Linked DNA regions of Arabidopsis thaliana. The protein of the gene in region 1 interacts with the protein of each later gene in a biochemical or structural test. Each region holds a gene or a part of one and is shown in the gene's direction. Other genes may lie near its edges.

Region 1 (6,812 bases):
GATTTGTATGTTCTCAAAATTGACTCAGAAGAAGTTGATAAGCCGAAAAAGTCTTTGCCTGCAATAAGTGGTAGCGAGGATCAATCTTCACCTCAAAAAAGAACCAGATATTCTCCTGATGCTGGTGACTTCAAAGGCGTTGAAAGTCATAGCAATACACAAGGATCACCGGATTCACCAACAAGTTGCAGTGTTCCCTCTACTAGCGCCAGTCCTGGAGAAGGCATCGCAGAGACTCCCACTAGTCCACAATCAGAGGTAAGCCTGAGTGACTCCTTTGCTGATGCATCCTTTTGGTTCTTAGAAGTTAACTAAACAAAAACCTGTTTTCTATATCTGCATTTTCAGAAAGAAATAATGTTGTTGATATTGGAAGTTCTCATTGATCTTCTTTTGATTTGTAGTCCACATCGGTGTACAAACCACCCGATTTGAACAGAAATATCACTGAGATATTTGGAAAGTTAATTAACATATATAGAGGTACAATCTCTGGTGTTTGTATTCTAGACTACTCGCTTATAGTAAGTAAGTAACAATACTCTTTCTTTTTTTTCAAAAGCTTTGGGTGAAGATAGACGGTCCTTTAGCTATTACAAAGCTATCCCCGTCATTGAAAAGTTCCCCACTAGGATTGAAAGCGTTGATCAGCTCAAACACCTCCCTGGAATCGGAAAGGCAATGAGAGATCATGTAAGTTGAGAAATGCTTCAAATGTTTTGTCTAGGTTCTGTGTGTGGGTGTCAAAACTGCAAACACTTACCCTTTTCCTAGTGCATACCTATAACCTTTGTTTTGATGTATTTCTGTGAGAACAAAGTCTTATTCTTCTACCTGAATTTGGCAGATTCAAGAGATTGTGACAACAGGGAAGTTGTCCAAGCTTGAACATTTTGAAACAGATGAGAAGGTAATTTTGAAGTCCTTGGTTATAGTTATTTTGCTATCTCCCATTTTCAATTAGATACAAGCTCACATGTAGAGGCCATTTGCTTTTCTCTTGTTCCTTTTTCTCTTTAAAGAAAAATACTGTCAATGACCGAACTGGAGCTAGAGATGTCTGATATGTTTTGTTTACCACTATAAATGTTTCATTACTATGGTTGAAGGTTCGTACAATCAGTTTGTTCGGGGAAGTTTGGGGTGTCGGTCCTGCAACTGCACTCAAGCTATATGAGAAAGGACATCGCACACTAGAAGACTTGAAGAATGAGGATTCACTAACGCATGCACAGAAGTTGGGGTTGAAATATTTTGATGATATCAAAACACGAATTCCACGTCAGGAGGTGCGATTCTTAAACTTCAACGTGAATTTTGTTTGTCTTTATTATCCTTCTTGTAATTTTCTCCTCATATTTCTTCACTTTCTGTATTGTAGGTGCAAGAGATGGAACAACTTTTACAGAGAGTCGGCGAGGAAACTTTGCCTGGCGTATGAACTATTCAGTTTATCGGTCTGCTCCATATTTGGGTGATAAAAGTTTAGTGAAATCCTAACCAACATCTTTACTGCAGGTGAATATTGTATGTGGAGGATCATATAGACGTGGGAAAGCTACTTGTGGAGATCTGGATATCGTTGTCACCCATCCTGATGGACAAAGGTACCTACAATCTTCTTTCCTCATCTTCCTGCGTTAGTTTCCTGTAACAAAGTTTACTTAAACTGTTTTTTCTTATTGTCCTGACCAGTCACAAGGGATTTTTGACAAAGTTTGTAAAGCGTTTAAAAGAAATGAACTTTTTAAGGGAGGATCTCATCTTCAGCACCCACAGTGAAGAGGTAAGATGATCTGATAAAATTATTTAAGAGAGGATCTCATCTTCATTGAAAACACATTACTTCAGTTGTTTCAGTATCTTATAAAATGATCTCTTTTAGCATTAGATAAAGCTTTGTTCTCTCAGAGTTGCATGTGTAACAAAAATTCTTGTTCAATCACAGCTCCTCAATGATTTCCCTTATTGTGCAGGGTACTGATTCAGGCGTTGACACGTATTTTGGTTTGTGCACTTATCCTGGTCAGGAGCTACGGCGCCGTATCGATTTTAAGGTAACACCTGAAAACTCCTAATGTCACACAATGCAGAAAAGAACTAAGTGGGTTAGTCAAAGATAAAAAGGACAATACCATGATTGATTCAGCTATGTCTAGGTTGATCTCTTCCCGGAAGATCATTCAATAAATAGTCTTTTTTCATAGGTCTATCCAAGGGATATCTATTCGTTTGGACTCATAGCCTGGACAGGGAACGACGTGTTGAACAGAAGGTATGGATATGATTTCATTTGTATACATGTCTCACTAAACACATTTGTTGGTAGATAAAGAACACAGCATATGTATATATATATGCGATGATAACTGCAGGCTGAGATTGCTAGCAGAATCGAAAGGATATCGACTTGACGACACTGGACTATTCCCAGCTACTCACAGTTCTAGTGGTAACCGGGTAAGTAAGGGAGAAAAGTGAATTAACTTGATGTGAATTCTTGGGTTTTAAAGTGAAAGAATGATTATGTTGAAGCTGTGATAATGTTTGTCTCTCAGGGTGCTAGAGGAACTGCAAGTCTGAAACTCTCAACGGAGAAACAAGTTTTTGATTTCTTAGGATTTCCTTGGCTCGAGCCACACGAGAGGAATCTCTAAGGCATCACAGGCACACAGCCTTTGGTACTAAATTTTTTTTTTTTCTTTTTGAATAGGTTCTGTATGTAAGTAATCGGTTCCTTTTTGTAATTGCATATCCATGGACAACTGATTTAGATGTTACATATAATGCAATGCAATGTACTTGTATTAGAAACCATTGCATATCTTTAAGGTAAACTAAGAAAACCTATGGTACTGAGGAAACTTGGGATCTCAATTTTTTTTTAAAATACAATTCCTTTACTAAATAATTAATTACACGTGTCATAAGATAGTTGGATTAAGTGTGGAAATAAGAGTGTCAAATGTCCCACATCGAAAAGCCAGCAGAAAACCAATTTGTATATATAAGGACACAAAAGATAGATGGTCACGACCTTACTTGAACAGGATCTGTTCTATAGGCTCGTACCTCTGTTTCCTTGATTTCTAAGGAGACAGGCCCTAAACCCTGGTTGATGAACCATGACCGTGCGGTCAGAGCGTGATTGATGGCTACGATCGTCTTCGGACGCATCCGGTGCTGTAGAGGATCGTTACTCGGCTTGGTCTTCCTTGCCGGGGTGGTCGCACGGCGGTCTGACAGGTTCTTTTTATTTTACCCTCGGTTTTTTTTTTTTTTTTTTTTTTTTTTTTTCACCCTCAAAACTTTCAATTTCTTACATTTTCACCCTTTAATTGAAACCTCGCTAAAACCCTCAGCTGTTTTATTGCAGAAAACAAGAGATAAGGTTGAAGAGTGAAGCAAAGCTTAGTAATGGCTTCAATGCACGAAGCTCTGTTCTCTTCTCGGCTTCTTCAAGTCAATTCTTCTTTTTCCTTCCGTTGCGCTCTTCCAATTATCTCTTCACCAGCTGCAGTATCTTGCGCAATCAAATCGACCCAGTTTTTTAAACAGCGTTGTAGAACCAAAGTGAGGGACTTTTCTCTATCTTCACTGTCCCGGAGAGGGTTCGTTTGCAGAGCTGCTGAGTACAAGTTTCCGGATCCCATACCTGAATTCGCCGAAGCTGTGAGCTCATTTCCTCTTCTTCTTCAACTCATTTTTGATGGATGATCGAAACCTAATTGATGTGTGATATAACCAGGAGACTGAGAAATTTAGGGACCATATGTTAAACAAACTATCAAAAAGAGATCTTTTTGAAGACTCTGTTGATGAAATTGTTGGAGTCTGCACTGAGGTAATCTCAAATCTTCTCACCTTCACTCATGTATATCTGTTCGTGTCTATGTGAGATGTCTTGAATTGTGGTGTTTTTAGTAATTGTGTTCCATTTCAAAGAACTCAAAAGTGGTGTAATTTTTAGTCTCAGTTTCTGATATTTTCTTAACATGCCTCAAATCTCTTATTCTTGTGATGAATGAGAATCCTGATCTGAAATTGTTTAGGTAATGTAATCATCTTTTACTGTCAATATGCTAGTTTTGGAATTGCAATGGTGATGTTTGATCGAAGTTTTCCTAGTTTGTATGATTGTGATTATGCAAGCATTTTCCTTAAATCTTGAGGAGTGATTTTGTGGTCTTGGACTTAGTCGAGCTTAAGGCCTAGAATGGAGAGGGTCATGTGATTCGGTTTAGAATGTGAAGGAGTGGTTTTCAATTTGAACCCATCTTGAAAGCTCAGTGAAAAAAAGTTTGTATTGTTTGAAAATGAGATGCTGTGGTCTTAGTAATGATGCCTTGGTGAGGATATTAATCTACGTATGGTTTACAATGAGTCGACTGTAAGTTTTTGTTTCATGAGTGATACTTTAAACCCCATTCTCTAAGTCTGTTATATGTCTTGGCATGAGACTCAGGGAGTTTTAACAGTTTTTTGTTCTGCACCATTGTGATTATTGACAGATCTTCGAGACGTTCTTGCGCAGTGAGTATGGAGGACCTGGTACACTCTTGGTGATACCTTTCATTGACATGGCAGATACTCTCAACGAAAGGGAATTGCCTGGAGGTCCACAAGCCGCCCGAGCAGCTATTAAATGGGCTCAGGATCATGTAGACAAGGACTGGAAGGAATGGACCGGCACTGATTAGTCCCCTGGGAGCATTAAGTATAATCCGTGAGTTATTTAGTTTAGTAGTGGGGTAGCAGATGTGTCATTGTAAAACTCTGATTACTATGTCGTGAAGCACTTAATCTTTGATCAAAAACTGTTTGGTGTAAACTTGTCCAAACGACTGGAAACAAGAAAAAGAAAAGATGGCAAAAGCTTTTTATTGTTCTTATTCAGAAGCTTTGTGTCCTCTGAATCAATCTCACACATCAACAAAAACCACACTTCTTACAAACTTCCATCGATTTCCCCATCTGCAAAAATATATACATCGACGATAGAGGGAAAAAAAAGGAAGAAGAAGTTCTGTTTTGTTGACTCTCTTGAGCTTTCTCTGTACTTATCTCTTCACATCTTCATCTAGACTCCATCCGTTTATCCTCTGTAATATCCAGGAAAAAAAAAAACAGAACCAAAAAATTATTCAGTAGAGTTTCGGATCAGGCTCTCCACTCTAGATCCAGATACTGTTTCGAACAAAAACCAAAAACATTCAGCTAGTAGCTTCGGAGATGCTCTGAAGAGACGGCCTCCATGTTTTAGACTTTAAGAGGGAAGTTGAATTCCTTATAACACGAAATTGCTTCCCTTGTTTCTTCTCCTATCAAATAAAACACAAACCTCATTAACTTGATTCGTCTATCGATCATTTAGACGAAAGAGGTCACAGTTTTTTACGTCACAATTCAAAAACAGAGTAAAGATAGATCTTTTAGCAAAATCCCATGTCTTTACCGGAACTTTCTTGTCCGAGAACTTCTTCGCCGTGGTTGTCTTCTCAATCTGATGTTTTTTCGTCTTGGCGCTCTTCTTTTCCCGTAACACCTTCATCACTTCTGTAAAATTACAATAACCATCTAAAACCATAAACTCCAATCACACACACGAGGAGAAAAAAAAAGAAAGAAAGCAAAAGGCGAAACCTTGTGAAGTAATGAGCCGGTAAGCGTGACCGAGCACAAGATTCTCCGTTGGCCGGAGAAGCTGGACACGTGTAAACCTCACAGCCTTCCTCTGCTTCTTATCATCTCCCTTCTCCGTCGCTGGAATATTCTTCTCTTCCTCCTCTGACAAAGGAATGATGAGAGAGACGTAGTGACCAGGATACATAGCCATGACCTCGGTGACGGATACAGAGCTATAGTACCGGTCGATAATCCCGCCGGGATGTTGTAGAACCAGCACTGCCGCATTCACCGCCTGACAATTCCCCATATATGCAGTGGGAGAAAAAAACACACTATCTTTTGATGTTACCTAAGAAACGAAAGAAAGAAGAAAAAATGAAAACAGAGTAGAACTCTGTGAAAAAAGGAGAAAGCGGAAGAGAGGAAAAAGTTTGCCGGCGAGGGTAGGTCCACACACTCTGCTACTCTCACTTTAGCTTTACTTATAAACATGCGAAAATCCCAATTTTATATTATGATTTTATTTGTTATCACTAGTGTAGAGTTATTTATGATTTTTATTATTGTTTATGTAGATTTGACTGTGATCAGTGCCATCGGGAATTGAATAGGAATAAGATGGTCAGAATTTAAAAGTCGGTTAGATTGGACAGGTGGCGACGCCGAGACTATGGAAGAAATGATTAAGATGTGATTGTTTAAAATGGAATAGGTTTGGTATACAGCATGAGGAAAACAAGCACTATCACATACCAAACATTTTGAAATTGCTATCAGTGATTTACTTTGTTTTATATTTTACTATTTGGTAAGTTTGAGTTACTTTAGATATTCTAATCTTTTTTGAATTAATTGAAATTAAGCTGAATGATTTTTATGGTTCAGAATGATTTGTAAGATTTTGTAATTCTTAGTTTTTTGTTTACAAGAGATTATTTTTGTCAACGGGCAAAACAGAACGTTATACTTCAACATTAAACGTAAATAACGTAATGAAGACTTTTGTTTTCTCTTTTGCAAGATCCAATGCATTTCCACTAAGGATTGTTTGTTTTATATATCATCTACCTAAATTGATGTATAATCCACTTCATCCCTAAAAAGAAAACAGAATATATTTACATCAAATGTTTACTTTCCTTTCAGTTTCTCTTGTATATTTTCGCATATCTATGACTTGATTA
Region 2 (7,915 bases), 450 kb from region 1:
GTGGTAAGATACTGAGATTGGTGAAAAAGTGATCATGGGCTAAAAAGAGGTTGTAGCCCAAGTTCACCTTTTTTTAACTTGGGCCACCAAATTTATTTGGGCTTAAAAGAACGTAAATTATTTTCATAATAATGTCCTTTACTCAGTAGTAATTTCAAATCATTTCTCTCTTCTCATGTCTCATGAAACAACATCATCTACATGATCTCTGCTCTGCATTAGTAAATCACCACGAAGCTTAGTGTTAATAAGTAGCTCACCAAAACAAAAAGATGCATCGCCTGCAACATGAACAGAAGATGCATATGCAGAATTGGAAAGGATCAGAGACTTTAAAATTTCTGATTTTTCTTTAGGGCTAATATACGTATAATAAGACCATACGAGATGCAAAATGTTAATAGGTAAGTCGAAAATGTAAAATACATAGAAAGACGAATATAGGACCTCTTAAATCTTACAAAACATTTGAAACCAATCAGTCAAAAAACCAACCATGTCGTTTTGGCAATCTTCTTTGTACACCGTCTTTGCTCTCACAGCCCTTAAAAAAAGCGTCTTTCTTCTCTTCAGACAAGGGTGAAGGCAGATTGTACTGTTGATTGGAACCGTGATGCGATTGTCTGCGAAGCAAACTGCTGAAATTGTTTCTTTGCATCTGCCAACAAGAATTGGTGAATGCCGATTAGAGTCACCTCTATATATGTACATGCGTATGTTCTTTGTACAAAAAGCTAACAACCTATTGATCTACAGCTGGTTTGATTTTACACAAAATCAGGTCAGTTGTGAAAGACTAATGAGGATCTTACCTTTCTTGCACTTTGTGAAGCCGATGATATTAGCCACATTGAGGGACAAGCAAACGCCAACAACAAGCAGATAGTCAGCTTGAAATCTAATCAGAGAAAATACCCCAAGGATAAACCATGCAGCTGCCTGAAGAGTGAAAAAAGGAGAAGATTTAGCTGTGAAGACAACAGAAAAAGACAGCAAACAAATCCACATGTTTTTAATGTTTACTACGCTCCAGTACCATAGACATCAAATCCATAGCTACCATCTCATGGCTACATCTCACTCTTTATAGTCGCTTGTAAGGTAACTGAGCATATAAGTTTGTAAGCTACCAAGTTTTAACTAATATTATACTTAGTCAGTGTAAGATCATAGGATATACTCCAAATGGCCGACTTGGTTCCAGCAGATAATCTTTCCCTACTCAACATATATTGTAATGTGACTTCGCATGTGATTTGACTCCAATGTCAAATGCTATATCCCACTCATGCAGAGGGAAAAACCATTTGTCGCAAACTTCTTTAACTGGTAGCTTCTTGGGGGAAGATATTCAGGTGTCTAGCGATCTATATATGGGTCTACATGGGATTCTAAAAGACTGCTCTCAATTCTTATCTACCACCTTTGCACAATATGCTTCAATATAAGGGACATGTTTATTCTTGCCTATTCTTATTCCACTATAAGGGACATGTTTATCCTTGCCTATTCTTATTCCTAGTCATCCACTAAAGTTCCACAATGATTGTGAATGGGTTTTAAGTAATTAGCTTATGCTGCAACTGAAGTGTTAGATATGAAATACTTACTGCAAGGTAAAGTGTCCACCAGAAAAGCCATGAGTCTTTCTTGTTCATCCGAGCCAAAGACTGTATAGAAAAATGATGAAAACACATGAGTATACAAAAAAAAAACGGAAAGGGAAACACAACCCCACATTTCTCGACAGGCTGAACCCATATCCTTGTGAATAAGTGAAGAAAAGCTAACCTCCTGATCAAGAGACTCGAATTTCCAGACACTTTCTCCCAAGTCATTGATCTCGTTCCACCACCTGAGACCAACCAGTATACGCCCACTGACATTCTTAACCACCCAGAAGTCAAGAGCAGCAAGAAGAACAGTGACTACAAAGATGATGACAAAGCTGTTGAAGAAGAGAGCAGAGAGAATGTAAAACGCCAACGCAGCACCCTGGTCCAAGAACAAATACAAACTGGTTTAACATTTGTCCAATGTCTAACATTTCCTTTGACTAAACTGATTTATACTCTAAATCATACCTTGAAGAGAACATGGAAAAGACATGTCCTTGGGTTTGCATAATTTTCAACTGGTGCCTGTATCTAAGAAAGCATAAAGTTTTGGTAAGATTAGCTGTAGCAATTTTACATTGTAATAACCATTACGATGCTACCCAAAAGAGTACATAAAGATTATTATCCGCCAACACATCCTCTAACCTAGCAATGTTTATTTAGCTCAAATGCATAATTTCTACGGATTATCGGAGACCAAAACGTCGAAACACAGATCTGACACAATAACATCTAGATCGAACAACTAGATACAGGTTAATCAAGAATCTGATATGCAATCGAACTCAGAAATTAAGTCAGAACAAAATGAGAGGAAGCAGCTGAAAATTCACCTGATTATTAGGGTCCATCTTTCGAAGAATCCAAAAGGATCAATCCGAGAAAAAGAAGAAGTAATCTGCTGATCAGCAGAAACGAAACACCTTCTCCGTTGTGGAAAGTATCGATCTTCCCTCTGAATTTTCCCGAGAAAAAATTTCTGTATCAGATCTTCAAAACTCTTGCGCGTGTCTGCTACGTGATTTCTTCTATTTTTGATAATTTCTTTCAAATGTGTTTTTTAATTCTCAACGAGCCCGATAACTCTTCTCTGGCCCAATAATATTTAAAGAAGTTAGGCCCAATTATTCAAAAAAAATGGTAATTACGATTTCACCACAAAAACTTGTGTTTCGATCAAAATTATCCACTATCCACAACAAGGCAAAAGAAGAGTTAAGAAAGAAGAGGACGACAATGGCTGTAAATATGTGACCATGAAATGGCGAGAGGCTGAGATAATTGTCTTATCCCTTCAAAATTTAAGACTTTTAATGATCGGAAGGAACAAGATGACGAGGTCCCACGAACCACCATACACACTTCAATTTCAAATAAGAGCTTTTCTTCAGTTGTTGCTCAGAGACTTAACCAATCAACCATGGCGAAGATGATGATGTTGCAACAGCATCAGCCTTCTTTCTCTCTCCTTACTTCTTCTCTGTCTGACTTCAATGGCGCTAAGCTCCATTTACAAGTCCAGGTCTTTTTCATCCTTCGTTCTGACGACTATCATTATCAATTTTATCAGATGGGTTCTGCTTTTGTGTGTCTGATGAGCCAAAATCCGTTCAGCACATTTCAAAACTATTCCTTTTAAAATGGGTTTAAGCTTGTTTGTTCGACTTCTTGAGCTATGGATCATTGTGTCTATATTAATGAATGTGTGTCTAAAGTCTTAGTGTGGTTCTTGTTTCAGCTCTGATTTTGTATTATGAGTAAAGAGTTTTATGAGCTTCTTCGTCATAATTGTGAGAGTTTCTGGTTTGTGGTTTGGCTCTGGTTTGAGTTGTCTGAATACCCCCCTCATTTGTGTCAAGTATGATTTGTTTCTGTGACGCTCTGCCTTCAGATTCTATCACTAGTCTTAGAATTGAAACTACAGTTTGTATTTTGGGGATAAGATTTTTCTTATAGAGTTGGCTTTGTTGTTAAAATTGCAGTACAAGAGGAAGGTTCATCAGCCAAAAGGAGCACTCTATGTTTCAGCGTCGAGCGAAAAGAAGATTCTGATAATGGGTGGTACTCGATTCATTGGTCTGTTCTTGTCCAGGATCCTTGTCAAAGAGGGACATCAGGTTCCACTACCGATCAAACTCTCTTTTCAGCTAAAAATTTAGTTTCCGTTTCTGAGTGACCAATGGTTGCTTTTGCAGGTTACATTGTTCACAAGGGGTAAATCTCCTATTGCCAAACAATTGCCCGGTGAATCTGACCAAGACTTTGCTGATTTCTCTTCTAAGGTATTACATGAATCCTTGTAAAAAACTAGTATGCACACTCAAATATAATATACATTTCAGATGATAGGAACTTGGATGATTAGGATTCCAATAAAATAAATGATTTTTCTCGGCCTTTTCTAGATTCTTCACTTGAAAGGAGACAGAAAGGACTATGACTTTGTGAAGTCAAGTCTTTCAGCAGAAGGCTTCGATGTTGTTTATGATATCAACGGTAACAGCTAATCACTTTGTTCTTACTGTAAATTCAAGAATATCTAGTCTTTTGCCTTTGACAACAAAGATTTTAAGATTTCGTATAATTTATGCTCTCTTTTTTTCTCAGGGAGGGAGGCCGAAGAAGTTGAGCCCATACTAGAAGCACTACCCAAACTAGAGCAGTAAGTAATACATAACATCTATCAAGGCCTAGCTTGTTCATTTGGTTTATAGCTTTCAAAACATAGCCCTTCAAAATTTAAATCTTCCGTTAATGTTATAGGTACATCTACTGTTCTTCAGCTGGTGTTTATCTGAAATCTGATATCTTGCCACATTGTGAGGTATGTAAAAGATATCTTATTCTTATTCCTGGAAGATATGAGCTTGTACTTTTCTTGAATTAGCCATAGAATAGTATGATTATGTAATTTGATCATATGATGTCACCCAGAAGTTTATTATCTAAGGCCATTTGTAATAACTTTTTATTTGGGACATAACTGATGCAGGAGGATGCAGTTGATCCGAAGAGCAGGCACAAGGGGAAGCTGGAGACTGAGAGCTTACTGCAATCAAAAGGTGTAAACTGGACTTCTATACGTCCTGTCTACATCTACGGTCCATTGAATTACAACCCCGTCGAAGAATGGTTTTTCCACCGTCTAAAGGCAGGTCGCCCAATCCCGGTTCCAAACTCTGGGATACAGATCTCACAACTCGGTCACGTTAAGGTCAGTCACACTTTCTCTAATTCTTGAGCTTCCTTTCATGTTCAGAAAACTCATTGTTATAGGGACCCACTGACTGAAACTCAGCTCTGATCAATCTTGAAGAGTATTGATCAATAACATCAAATCATTCTGTAATTTCAGGACTTGGCAACAGCCTTTCTCAACGTGCTTGGTAACGAGAAAGCCAGCAGAGAGATATTCAACATCTCGGGGGAGAAATATGTTACCTTTGATGGGTTAGCAAAAGCTTGCGCAAAGGTACATTCTTTTCTATTGGCTTTATTGTTGTCTCATCAATCCAAATCGTTTCAAGTACATCCTGGTGTGGTCCGTTTGTAATAGATATCATACTCTGAGCTTTTTGGATCATTGCTTGAGTAAACTTATTCATGTTTTCAACTCTCTCTCAGGCCGGTGGGTTTCCGGAGCCAGAGATTGTTCATTACAACCCGAAAGAGTTCGACTTTGGGAAGAAGAAGGCATTCCCTTTCCGTGATCAGGTAAAAACCACAACGTTCTAATGATCGAGGCTGCAACATGAACGATTCCAATTTAGAAGTTGAGATTTTGATATATGTATATTCTCTTGCAGCATTTCTTTGCATCGGTGGAGAAAGCAAAGCATGTCCTCGGATGGAAACCGGAGTTCGACTTAGTGGAGGGTCTCACTGACTCATACAACCTTGATTTCGGTCGCGGAACATTCCGGAAAGAAGCGGATTTCACCACTGACGACATGATTCTGAGCAAGAAACTTGTTCTTCAATAATCGAAATCCTAAGAGTTGCTCATTCTTGGCTTGTATGATTCTGATCACCCGGTTCTCTTAAAGTTCTGAACTTTATTGTCATCTCACGTATGTTATGGTCCGGATTTTGTTCGACTTTTCTCTAAAGAAGTCAAGCTAGGGACGATGAAGAAACCGAGAAAGTAAGTACACGAGAAAGAGACGGTCTGGCTCTTGACTTAGGAACTTAGGAATTTTGGTATCAATTCGATATCCTCTTTCTAAATCTGAACCGAACCAAAATTACAACCATACCGACTACCGAGCTAATTAAACTTTAGTTTTAAATGCGGGCCCCTTTGTATCATATAGCCCATTAACCGATCGAACCGAACCAAAAAATCGAATTCGCACGACTAAATACAGATTTGACCCGTGCTTGGTTATGCCCGCTACATACCGGTCAAATAAAAACTCATTTGGGCTCCAATATTTAAATTTAGAAGCCCAACTCGTAATTGAAAAGTCCAACTTGTGAATATTATTAGTTTTTTTTTTTTTTTTTCATCAAATATTAATAGTTTATAGAGACATATTTCATTGGTTGTAATTTACTTATCTTTTGGCCTATTTTTAGTGAAAAAAATGATTAGTTGATTTTTTAAACGTCTGAAACTTGTATTAGTGATTAATTGAAAATAAAAGAAAAGAAATGTAAATTCTATTACTCTATTGGTTATCTAAATGTAAATGAGTCATTCTCCGGAATTTTGTTTTATGTTTTTTTTCTCTCGACTCTTGTTGGATCATTTAGTTCTCACTGCAAGTCTTAATCTTGTGGATAGAAGAATCTTACAAAATTCTTGTGAAATTTAGATTCCAAAGAATATACTACGAAAAAAGATTTAGTCTTCTTCCTATTTTTTGTTTGGTCAGGATTACTTAAAGTCGTAGCTCCATGTGAGTTTATAAATATCATCTTATTCTTTCTCTTTCTCAACATATGTCGGTACGTCTTTTTCTTTTCACGTATGTCGGTACGTCAAAATGTTATAGTGCTACTCTTAGATTGTTACATTCATATCAACATCAGAATACCCAACAATACTACATACATATATCCAACTAGTCAAATACTCTATAAAAAACTAACTAAACAATTCAACAGACAGGATAAAAAGAAATTTGGTAGTCTATTGAGCATTTTGGCTTACAAGTAAAAGATCTTGAAACATATCAACGTAAACTAATAATGCATATTTTTACCAAAACAAAAAACTAATAATGGATATATACTATAACATTTTGGCTTTTGGCCAGTTAACAAAAAGAAAAAGAAAAAAAAAGTTTAGAAATATTAAAATTATGACGTTAGGACAAAAGAAGAAAATATCAAATTTATAGAAAACAACCACTACATAAATAGTAGGTCGGCCATGGGTCGGACAAAATAGATTACTTAACAATTAACGAGCAGCAAATTAGCTTTGGGTATAGTAACAACCAATCAATGTTCCCTCAGCTTCTTCTTCGTGGGCTCCATTTAGGCCACGTGGCATTATCACAGCCTTGTATTGAATTCAACGGAGATCCTTCAACCAATCACGAGATTTCGTTAGCGCTGGTAGGGCCCTCTCTCGCTAAACACATGGGGTAGTATCTAAAGTGGACCTGTCACACTGCATCGCCATGTCATCATTTCGGGCATCTTCAACTTAATACGAACTTACGAAGCTTTCCCCGGTGGATAATTAACCGTTTTATTAATTAGCCATAATCACGGCCTCAAAGCCTATATAAGTTGTTTCTCACCAACAATCAAATCACTTATCAACAACTCAAAACTGATCATCACAAAGAAAAGAGTTTTCTCTGATAATCTTTCTCGGACAAGATGGCACCTGAGATGAACAACAAGTTGAGCTACGGAGAAAAGAAGAGAGCGTACGTTACGTTCCTCGCCGGAACCGGAGACTACGTGAAAGGAGTGGTTGGTCTGGCTAAAGGGCTAAGGAAAACTAAAAGCAAGTACCCATTAGTGGTTGCTGTGTTACCTGACGTGCCGGCCGATCACCGGAGACAGCTATTGGACCAAGGCTGCGTCATCAAGGAGATTCAGCCGGTTTACCCACCGGATAACCAAACTCAGTTTGCTATGGCTTACTACGTCCTCAACTACTCTAAACTTCGTATTTGGAAGGTATTTATATACATGATAGTATCTAGGTTTAAAAGACTTGAGAATCTGAATTTAAGTTTTCTTGATGAAACAATAACTATTTGGATGCAGTTTGTAGAGTACAGCAAGCTGATATACTTAGACGGAGACATACAAGTGTTTGAGAACATAGATCA

Evidence for each region. The genes of interacting proteins can lie anywhere in the genome.
Region 2: the proteins of PRIN2 (region 1) and CRB form a complex in vitro, tested with the Arabidopsis thaliana proteins (one study listed by BioGRID).

What each region holds. Positions count from the first base shown.
Region 1 is NC_003070.9:3,466,592-3,473,403, forward strand, and holds PRIN2 (Serine/Threonine-kinase), read left to right. Parts: upstream 1-2,920; 5' UTR 2,921-3,246; exon of another isoform or gene 3,247-3,376; 5' UTR 3,377-3,417; coding exon 3,418-3,672; intron 3,673-3,748; coding exon 3,749-3,844; intron 3,845-3,859; exon of another isoform or gene 3,860-4,327; intron 4,328-4,511; coding exon 4,512-4,700; 3' UTR 4,701-4,897; downstream 4,898-6,812. Other genes in the region: Pol{lambda} (DNA polymerase lambda (POLL)), read left to right, coding at 1-258, 405-483, 563-693, 848-910, 1,110-1,289, 1,382-1,435, 1,519-1,607, 1,696-1,786 and 4 more; AT1G10530 (D-ribose-binding periplasmic protein), read right to left, coding at 5,214-5,321, 5,456-5,556, 5,644-5,935. UniProt on the Arabidopsis thaliana protein: Involved in redox-mediated retrograde signaling to synchronize the expression of photosynthetic genes from both the nuclear and plastidic genomes, especially in excess light conditions.
Region 2 is NC_003070.9:3,012,434-3,020,348, forward strand, and holds CRB (chloroplast RNA binding protein), read left to right. Parts: upstream 1-2,803; 5' UTR 2,804-3,039; coding exon of another isoform or gene 3,040-3,141; 5' UTR 3,142-3,372; coding exon 3,373-3,477; intron 3,478-3,601; coding exon 3,602-3,736; intron 3,737-3,814; coding exon 3,815-3,901; intron 3,902-4,024; coding exon 4,025-4,115; intron 4,116-4,226; coding exon 4,227-4,281; intron 4,282-4,382; coding exon 4,383-4,443; intron 4,444-4,611; coding exon 4,612-4,833; intron 4,834-4,974; coding exon 4,975-5,091; intron 5,092-5,243; coding exon 5,244-5,333; intron 5,334-5,425; coding exon 5,426-5,602; 3' UTR 5,603-5,905; downstream 5,906-7,915. Other genes in the region: AT1G09330 (golgi apparatus membrane protein-like protein ECHIDNA protein), read right to left, coding at 570-658, 813-939, 1,611-1,670, 1,792-1,995, 2,085-2,147, 2,453-2,470; GolS3 (galactinol synthase 3), read left to right, coding at 7,455-7,760, 7,851-7,915. UniProt on the Arabidopsis thaliana protein: Binds and cleaves RNA, particularly in stem-loops. Associates with pre-ribosomal particles in chloroplasts, and participates in chloroplast ribosomal RNA metabolism, probably during the final steps of 23S rRNA maturation.